Linked DNA regions of Mus musculus. The protein of the gene in region 1 interacts with the protein of each later gene in a pairwise test. Links are inferred from orthologs where the notes say so. Each region holds a gene or a part of one and is shown on either strand. Other genes may lie near its edges.

Region 1 (3,814 bases):
GAGTTTGAGGCCAGCCTGGTCTACAAAGTGAGTTCCAGGACAGCCAGGGCTATACAGAGAAACCCTGTCTTGAAACCACCACCACCACCACCAAAAAAAAAAAACAGGCATATCCAAACAAGAGCACAAATCAAGATTTTAGAAAAAAAAAATTCTGCATGTTTTTAGAATGCTATCAAAACATTAACAATAAATTAAAATTTATTAAAAATAAATAAAAATTTAGAACAGCAATCAAAAAATTACTTTTTTTGATGGGAAGACCATTAGAAGAAAACCAGAAGAAGGCATGATCTGGCAGAATACTATGAAATGTCCTGGTTTGGGGGGAATGGGTGCCTCACTCGTTCCTGCCTTCCTCTTGTGCTGTAATCACACTCTGAGTTAAGCCCTTAACCGTGGCTAGCGGTGGTCGAGGTGCAGGAATCTTAGGGAGAAGGGCGTGTTGAGTTGGCTCTGAAGTAAGGTTCTTTCCTTATGTCCCTGTTGTTAACGTCCCCTGTGTGCCTCTCAGGTACGAAGTGCTGCAGTTCTGCTGGCTGCCTCCTGACAAGAGGCCAGCCGCAGAAGACGTGCACCGTCTGCTAACTTACCTGAGGATGCAGAGCCAGCGGGACTCGGAGGTCGACTTTGAACAGCAGTGGACTGCTCTCAAGCCCGACACCAACAGCAGGGACGCATCCAGCAGCGCTGCCTTCCCCATCCTTGACCACTTCGCCCGGGACCGGCTGGGTCGGGAGATGGAGGAGGTCCTCACGGTGACGGAGACCAGCCAGGGCCTGAGCTTTGAGTATGTGTGGGAGGCTGCCAAGCACGACCATTTTGATGAGCAGGGCCGGGGCCACCCAGATGAAGCCCTGTCTTACTCCAGCATGTTCTTCCCAGTGGAGGTGTTTGAGAATTCGCTTTCAGATCCTGGCCCTGGCAAGCAAGATGACAGTGGCCAGGAGGTGCCCGTGAGGGCCCCTGGGGTGGTTCCTGTGTTTGATGCACACAACCTCTCTGTTGGAAGTGACTACTACATCCAGCTGGAGGAGAAAAGCAGCAGCAATCTGGGACTGGACCCCCCTGCACTGCTCACAACTGAAGTAGATAAGCTAGAGAGGGCTGGGGCTGAGGAACCCAGGACAGAAGAGGATTTCTTCCAGAGCAGTGCTCACCCCAAAGAAGCCAGCTCTACCGAGGACTCACGTGCTACCAGCATCCCTGGGAGCCCTTTCAACCTATTTAGTGACCTTGACAAAGCAGATGACCTGCCCAGTCACCAAAAAATATTTGATCTAATGGAACTAAATGGAGTTCAAGCTGACTTTAAGCCAGCCATCTTGAGTTCAAGCCTGGATGACCCCAAGGACACCTGCCAGTCTGACAAAGAAAAGCCCCATAAGCTCTTGGACCAGGGCCCTCTGTGCTTATCAGAAAGCCTTTTGCACCAAGATCACTTTGATCCACTGAGTGTCCAAGAATTGTCAGAAAACTTTTTATTTCTTCAGGAGAAAAATCTACTGAAAGGCTCTCTGACTACCAAGGAGCAAGTGAGCGACCTTCAAACAGAACTCAAGAATGCAGGTTTTACCTCAGCACTGTTGGAGTCACCCCAGAGAGGCTCTGAAAGTTCTGAACTTGAGTTCCTGGAAAATACACTAGACTTTCCTTTGTCACAGGGAGACACGCGTGGACAGAATGAAGGTGCAGGTGTCAGGCGTCACAGTGGTACCTCACCACAGGCCTCCCCAGCCTTGCTCACAGAAGAAGGATCTCCTACTGCCCCCACAGACCCAATTCTGAAGCCAGAAGAAACCAAATCCTTTAGAGATGTCAGAGTCCCCGAGGACTCCATCTGCTTGGAGCTAGGCCCCGACCCCGTGACTGTTGGAGTTGAAATTCCTGCTACTGATGCCAAAACCCTCGATGGGGGCAACAGACCCCCAGACGTCACTTGCCAAAGCAAGGAGGCCTTGAGTCTAACCAACAGACACCCCATCCTTGTGAATGATATTACTGCTCAGGGTAGCGTGGAGAGTTGTCTTCCAGAATCGAGACAGGATTTACAAAATGAGCCATTTTCAGAAGACCCTCTTAGTGTCAGCTCACTGGAGAAACACTCGGAAGCTGCGGAGACTTTAAACCAGCTTAACTCTAAGGCTGCCCCGGAGGATGCAGCCTTGGCGTCTGCCCTCTCCTCGGATTCTACCAGCCAAGATAGCCTCTTAGAAGACAGTTTGTCAACACCCATCCCCACCTCAGAGCAGTCTGTGGAGACGCCAGACTCCCTGGATTCAGTGGATGTCCGTGAAGCATTGCTAGAGTCCCTAGGCTCCCACACCCCTCGGAAACTCTTGCCTCCCGATAAGCCTGCCGACAGCGGCTATGAGACGGAGAACCTGGAATCTCCTGAGTGGACCCTGCACCCTGCACCCGAAGGCACTGCTGACTCAGACGCAGCTGCAGCAGGTGACAGTGGCCACAGCAGTTTGCCTCCCAACCCGGTCATTGTCATCTCGGATGCAGGCGATGGCCACAGAGGTGCTGAAGGTCCTCCTCAGAGCTTCACACTTGGCCCCCAGAGTTCATATCGAGACTCTGCATACTTCTCAGACAATGACTCGGAGCCAGATAAAAAGCCCGAGGAGGTCCCAGGAACATCTGCCAATGCCCTGGTGTTGGTAAAGGGCCAGTCCCCACCTGAGTCAGTTGTCCCAGAAGAAAGCTCTGATGTCAGAGAAGGCTGCCTGGAAGCCCCACAGGACAAGCCAGATCAAAGTCGGGTGTCTACTTTGCAGAATTCTTGTCACTCAGAACTACAAGAAACATTGCAGCCCACACCAGCTGATGCTTCCAGAGAGTCCTGTCCTGTGAACGACGAGGCCAGCAGCCCCTTGAGTTTGTTGAATTCAGAACCTAGCAGCTGCGATGACCTGGACACACAGGAAGATCGCCCATGCACCCTGGCCTCCACAGGTACAAATACCAATGAACTCCTTGCATACATGAGTTCCACACTGGATAAATCTTTGCCCAGCCACTTGGAGAGCTCCAAGCTGAAGGAGCCAGACATTGAAGGGAAATACCTTGGCAAACTTTGTGTGTCTGGGATGCTGGACCTCTCGGAGGATGGGATGGATGCCGATGAGGAGGATGAGAACAGCGACGACTCGGACGAGGACCTTCGAGCCTTCAACTTGCACAGCCTAAGCTCTGAGTCTGAAGACGACACGGAGCACCCTGTGCCCATCATTGTCAGTAACGATGATGGTAGGCACCTGCGGAGTTTGCTGAAACCCTCAGCTGCCGAGGCCATTGAGCAGCTGCCGGAAGACTGGAAGAAGGAAAAGAAGGCAGTGACATTTTTCGATGATGTCACCGTTTATCTGTTTGACCAGGTATCTCTATTTATATTGTAGAGAATTTCAAAAAGGTGTGAAGCTAACTGTGGTCTGATTTGATTTTGTTTATAAACATCCAGAATTTTATTTCAGTTTGTGTGTGGTGTGCATGTATGCATATTTGTGTGTGTGTGTGTGTGTGTGTGTGTGTGTGTGTGTGTGCGCACATGTGCTTCTCTGTGGGGAATGGAGGTTGACGCTGGGTGTCTTCTTTGTTCACTTTCTACATTATATAGAGAGCCAGGTTCTCTTCCTTACACCCCAAAGTTACTGATTCAGTTCATCTTAGCCAGCTTACTCTGGAGGTCTGTCGTCTACCTTTTGTACCCTGAGATAACTTGTGGGTATTTCTCCACATTTACATGGGTGCTGGGGACTTGAACTCCAGACCTTATGCTTGCTTGGGAAATGTTTACCCACTGAGCCAT
Region 2 (3,893 bases), on another chromosome or scaffold:
TCCAGGACTGCCTGGTTACAGACCGAGACTCTCTCAAGAGTCCAGATAAACAACAACAAAGGGGGCGAGGTGGAAATACAGGGGCTGTAAGAAGTAAATATGATATCTGCATGGGAGGCTAGCCAGAGAAGAAAAAATTTTCTTCCGTGGTTCAATCCTCCAAGGGCTGAACAGGAAGTTGACGCAGGCAGGTGAGGAGCACGAGCCTAGATGGGCTGCGGTGCCACCCTTAATCCCCACAAGCGAGTTCCTCCGCAATTCGCCTGTCCCACTCTCAACTTTTCTTCAACTGACTCTTTGCTGTGGTCCCTCGCTGTGGCAGTGGAAACAACTACCACTGCGAGGTAGGGAATGTCATGAGGGGCTACCTGCAGCCCTTGGCTTGCAGGGATGCAGGGATGCGGTCGGAACCTGAGGCCCCGCCCTTCTCTTGCCCCACGCCATTAGGCCACGCCCCTACCCAGCACTCCTTCAACCACCCCCTTCCCCGGCGCCTCATGAGGTCCCGCCCCTCTCAACCCTAGCTCTTGAGGCCTCCCCTTCACAGCCGCCCCGGCGTTCCTTGACTTGAGGCCACGTCCCTCTGCTCCTTCATTCCCAAGACCCTACGCTTTGCGAGTCCTCCCTGTCCTGCTGCCTAGGACCCCGCCCCTCTCAGCCCTTCTGCCCCAAGACCCCGCCCCTTAGGCTGTTCCCGCCCACTGGCCAATGAAGACCCGCCCTTTCTTTAGCCGCCCCGCCCCGGTCCCACAAAATCCCGCCTCCGGCCCCGCCTCCCGCCCCCTTGGGCGCTCCGTAGCAGTGACGTGCGCAGGCTGGGCACTCTGCAGGGCTCTCTGGCCGGCGGGTGGAGACCGATCCGGGATCTGTCCCAGCAGGAAGCGTATCCCGGCCGCCGTCGTGCTGTCGTCTCCGGTGCTCGCTCTCGGCCGCGGTGTCGCGCTTGCCCTTCGCGCCCGCAGCCCGGCAGCCTCTCCACGGCCGCGACCCCTCGCGCACCTGCCTCGCCGGGTGAGTGTGGGCGCCTGCCCGCCTGCCTGTCCTCACCGCCTTGGCCTCTGCTCTGCCCGGCGCGGACTGGAGCTCTGGCTTCCCCTTCCCGGGCCAGCGGGGCTCCTGTCACCTGACGAGTCCCACCCGACACTGCAAGATAGTTTTATTTTCTCCTTTCGAAACACAGTGAAAAAGCTACACAGTCTAGTTTGTTGTCAGAGTAAAGATCAATTGATACCATTAATAATTTAGCTGTGTCGAAGAAGACCATGGTAGCATACTATAAAGCTGGAATTTTAGTTCCTAAGCGTTCTAGTATTTTGAGTGTGAGTTTTACGGATGTGTTGCTGAAAATAACTTTGTTATTTAATTCCAAATCGTCTTAAACTAATTAAAACGTGCTAGCTGTGGATTGTATTTTAAAATAGGAAATAATTTGATAAGGCCATTCTTAGATAATCTATGTCAGGAACTTTTACACAAAGATACATTTTATCCGGCATAAAGTATGTAGGGCAGAGCTGTTTAAATCCCAATGTGGAGATACTGCTGGAGCGCTACACAAACGCTGCTCCGATTTCATATGTGTTGAATAAAACTTTAGTTTGCTCTCGTGTTACAGTTGCAGGATTTTCGAATATAGTTAGTCAGCTTGAGACTTTTAACAGCCTTTGAGGCTCGGCTGTAACACCATAAAATCTGAGTCTTGAGCTTGGTGGTGGTCATGGTCCAAAGGTTGGCTGCGGAACAGCAGCATTTCTGTACAAATTAACTCGACTTCAAGACATCTTGGCTTGTGGTTTTCCAACTGGGAAATGTTTAGTGAAAAAAAAATTACCTTAGTGCTCTCTAGCATTAATTTTAGAAATGGCCACAAATGCTACAAGGGGGACAGAGGAAGCCCAGAAACAATGTAGTTCTTCAGAACAGCTCATTGACTTTTAAATGTCTGCCCATTTTCTGTGTTTGCAGTTGCACAGGAGTAAACAGGCACAGTGATAAATAGAAGTCATTTTAGTCTGATGCTCGTCGGCCTGTAGTGTTTTTATTTCGTGTGTGTGATCTGTTACCCATTTTTTTCCCTCTTCCTTTCAAGTTTTGTATTTGTTTTCAAAAGTTACTTGTAAAAGGCAGGGACAGAATACAACCCTTAAGAAAAGAGTATTGCGATTATACAGTTAAAAAGCCGTGGAGTATAGATTTTACATATGGTCTTTAGTACCTAGACACATGAGCAAGAAAAAGTGAACAACTATGATTTTTCATAGAAGCTACAACATATTAAAAACAAAGATGCAAATTATAGTCCATGGGACTTGTCCGAAAGGGATTTTCCCTTGTTTACACGATCAAATTTTAAAATAACAGTGGCCAGGAAATCGGAGAGAAGCCGAAGGCTCCTCGCTCATCCTGTTGTGACTTTGCCTGGCGTCTGTGGTGGATCACTTATTGTTTAGACAACTGGACTGTATCTGGGTTTTGAAAGGCCTTTAGATGGTTTTAAAGATTTCCACCATGCAAGGTCTGAATAAATCCATAAGAACTCCACATAAAAAACCATTCTCTAGTTTTTAACTTTCTCTTGGTATTCAAAACTCCACTTAGGGTACAGGATTGGGAGTGTAACTCAGTGGGTAAAGACCTTGCCTTGTGTGTGTGTGTGCGCGCGCGTGTGTGTGTGTGTGTGTGTGTGTGTGTGTGTGTGTGTGTGTGAGGCCCTGGGTACTGGAGTTTCATTTATATTATTATATATATTATATTAGAACATCTTATTTAAACATTGCAATTTGAAAAACACATTGCAATTTGAATAAATCTCACACAGTATAATGGTGATTCCCAGAAAGAGATACTTTGTTAACAGTTTATGAGCTGGCGATTTAGTAGTGATGTGACACACAAAAAAAACCCCTAAAGGTTTGATTTACAAAATAATATTCCAGGTTGACAGCCTTTCCTTTTATAGAGGAGAAAACAGAGGCTCAGAGAATGAATACTTGCTTGTAGCTTTGGAGGGGCAAAGTCCAGACTCTGAGTACACATGGAAGTCTCTGACAACAAAGCCTCTCTCCTCCTTTGCCCAGAAGTTGTCTTGATTTCGGTTTACTTGGTGAACTATTGAGAGCCCTTTGTAGGCCTGATCTGGAGATTAGGAGTCGGTACCCTAGGTAAACTGTGATAGGCCATGCATGGAGTCTAGAACGAACTGAGAATTCTGTCTTCTTTCTCAAGGCCTTGAGCAGTGACCCAATGCTTTGGCATCACGTCTGGAGTGGTTCCAGCATGTATTAAGTATTATGTGCTTTTCATTTTGATGGGTTTATAGGAATTAACACTGCAATCTAATCCTGGATTGATTTCATTGTAGCTGAGCAGTATATGATGTTTCTGGTCAGGATGGAACTTTGGTTTTTGTCCTTCAAATGAGCTAGATTGTTGCTCTTTAATACAGTAGCTGTCTTTTAAATGTTATTCAATTAGCTTTAACCTTAGGAGGGAAACATGCTTCAAGATTAAGATATCTAGGCCTGGGAGATGCTTAGCAGGTAAAAACACTTGTCTGGAACCCTGATGACCTTAGTTGGATACCTGGGTCTCAAGGAAACAACTTCTGTGAATTTGTCCTCTGACTACCCCACATAGGCCTTGGCATATAGCTATGAACAAATAGTTGTGCTTTAAGAAATAAAAAATAGTGGTGGTGGCGCACGCCTTTAATCCCAGCCCTTGGGAGGCAGAGGCAGGCTGATTTCTGAGTTCGAGGTCAGCCTGGTCTACAGAGTGAGTTCCAGGGCTATACAGAGAAACCCTGTCTCGAAAAAAAAAAAAAAAAAAAAGATTAAGACATCCGCCTACCTCTACCTCTTGAGTGCCAGAGCTTGCAGCTCTGCCCTTGCGTA

Evidence for each region.
Region 2: the proteins of Lmtk2 (region 1) and Myo6 interact in a two-hybrid assay, tested with the Homo sapiens proteins (2 studies listed by BioGRID). The link is inferred for Mus musculus from reciprocal best matches to the Homo sapiens genes LMTK2 and MYO6.

What each region holds. Positions count from the first base shown.
Region 1 is NC_000071.6:144,173,095-144,176,908, forward strand, and holds part of Lmtk2 (serine/threonine-protein kinase LMTK2 precursor), read left to right. Parts: intron 1-514; coding exon 515-3,383; intron 3,384-3,814. UniProt on the Homo sapiens protein: Phosphorylates PPP1C, phosphorylase b and CFTR.
Region 2 is NC_000075.6:80,164,219-80,168,111, forward strand, and holds the start of Myo6 (unconventional myosin-VI), read left to right. Parts: upstream 1-815; 5' UTR 816-1,011; intron 1,012-3,893. UniProt on the Homo sapiens protein: Myosins are actin-based motor molecules with ATPase activity. Unconventional myosins serve in intracellular movements. Myosin 6 is a reverse-direction motor protein that moves towards the minus-end of actin filaments.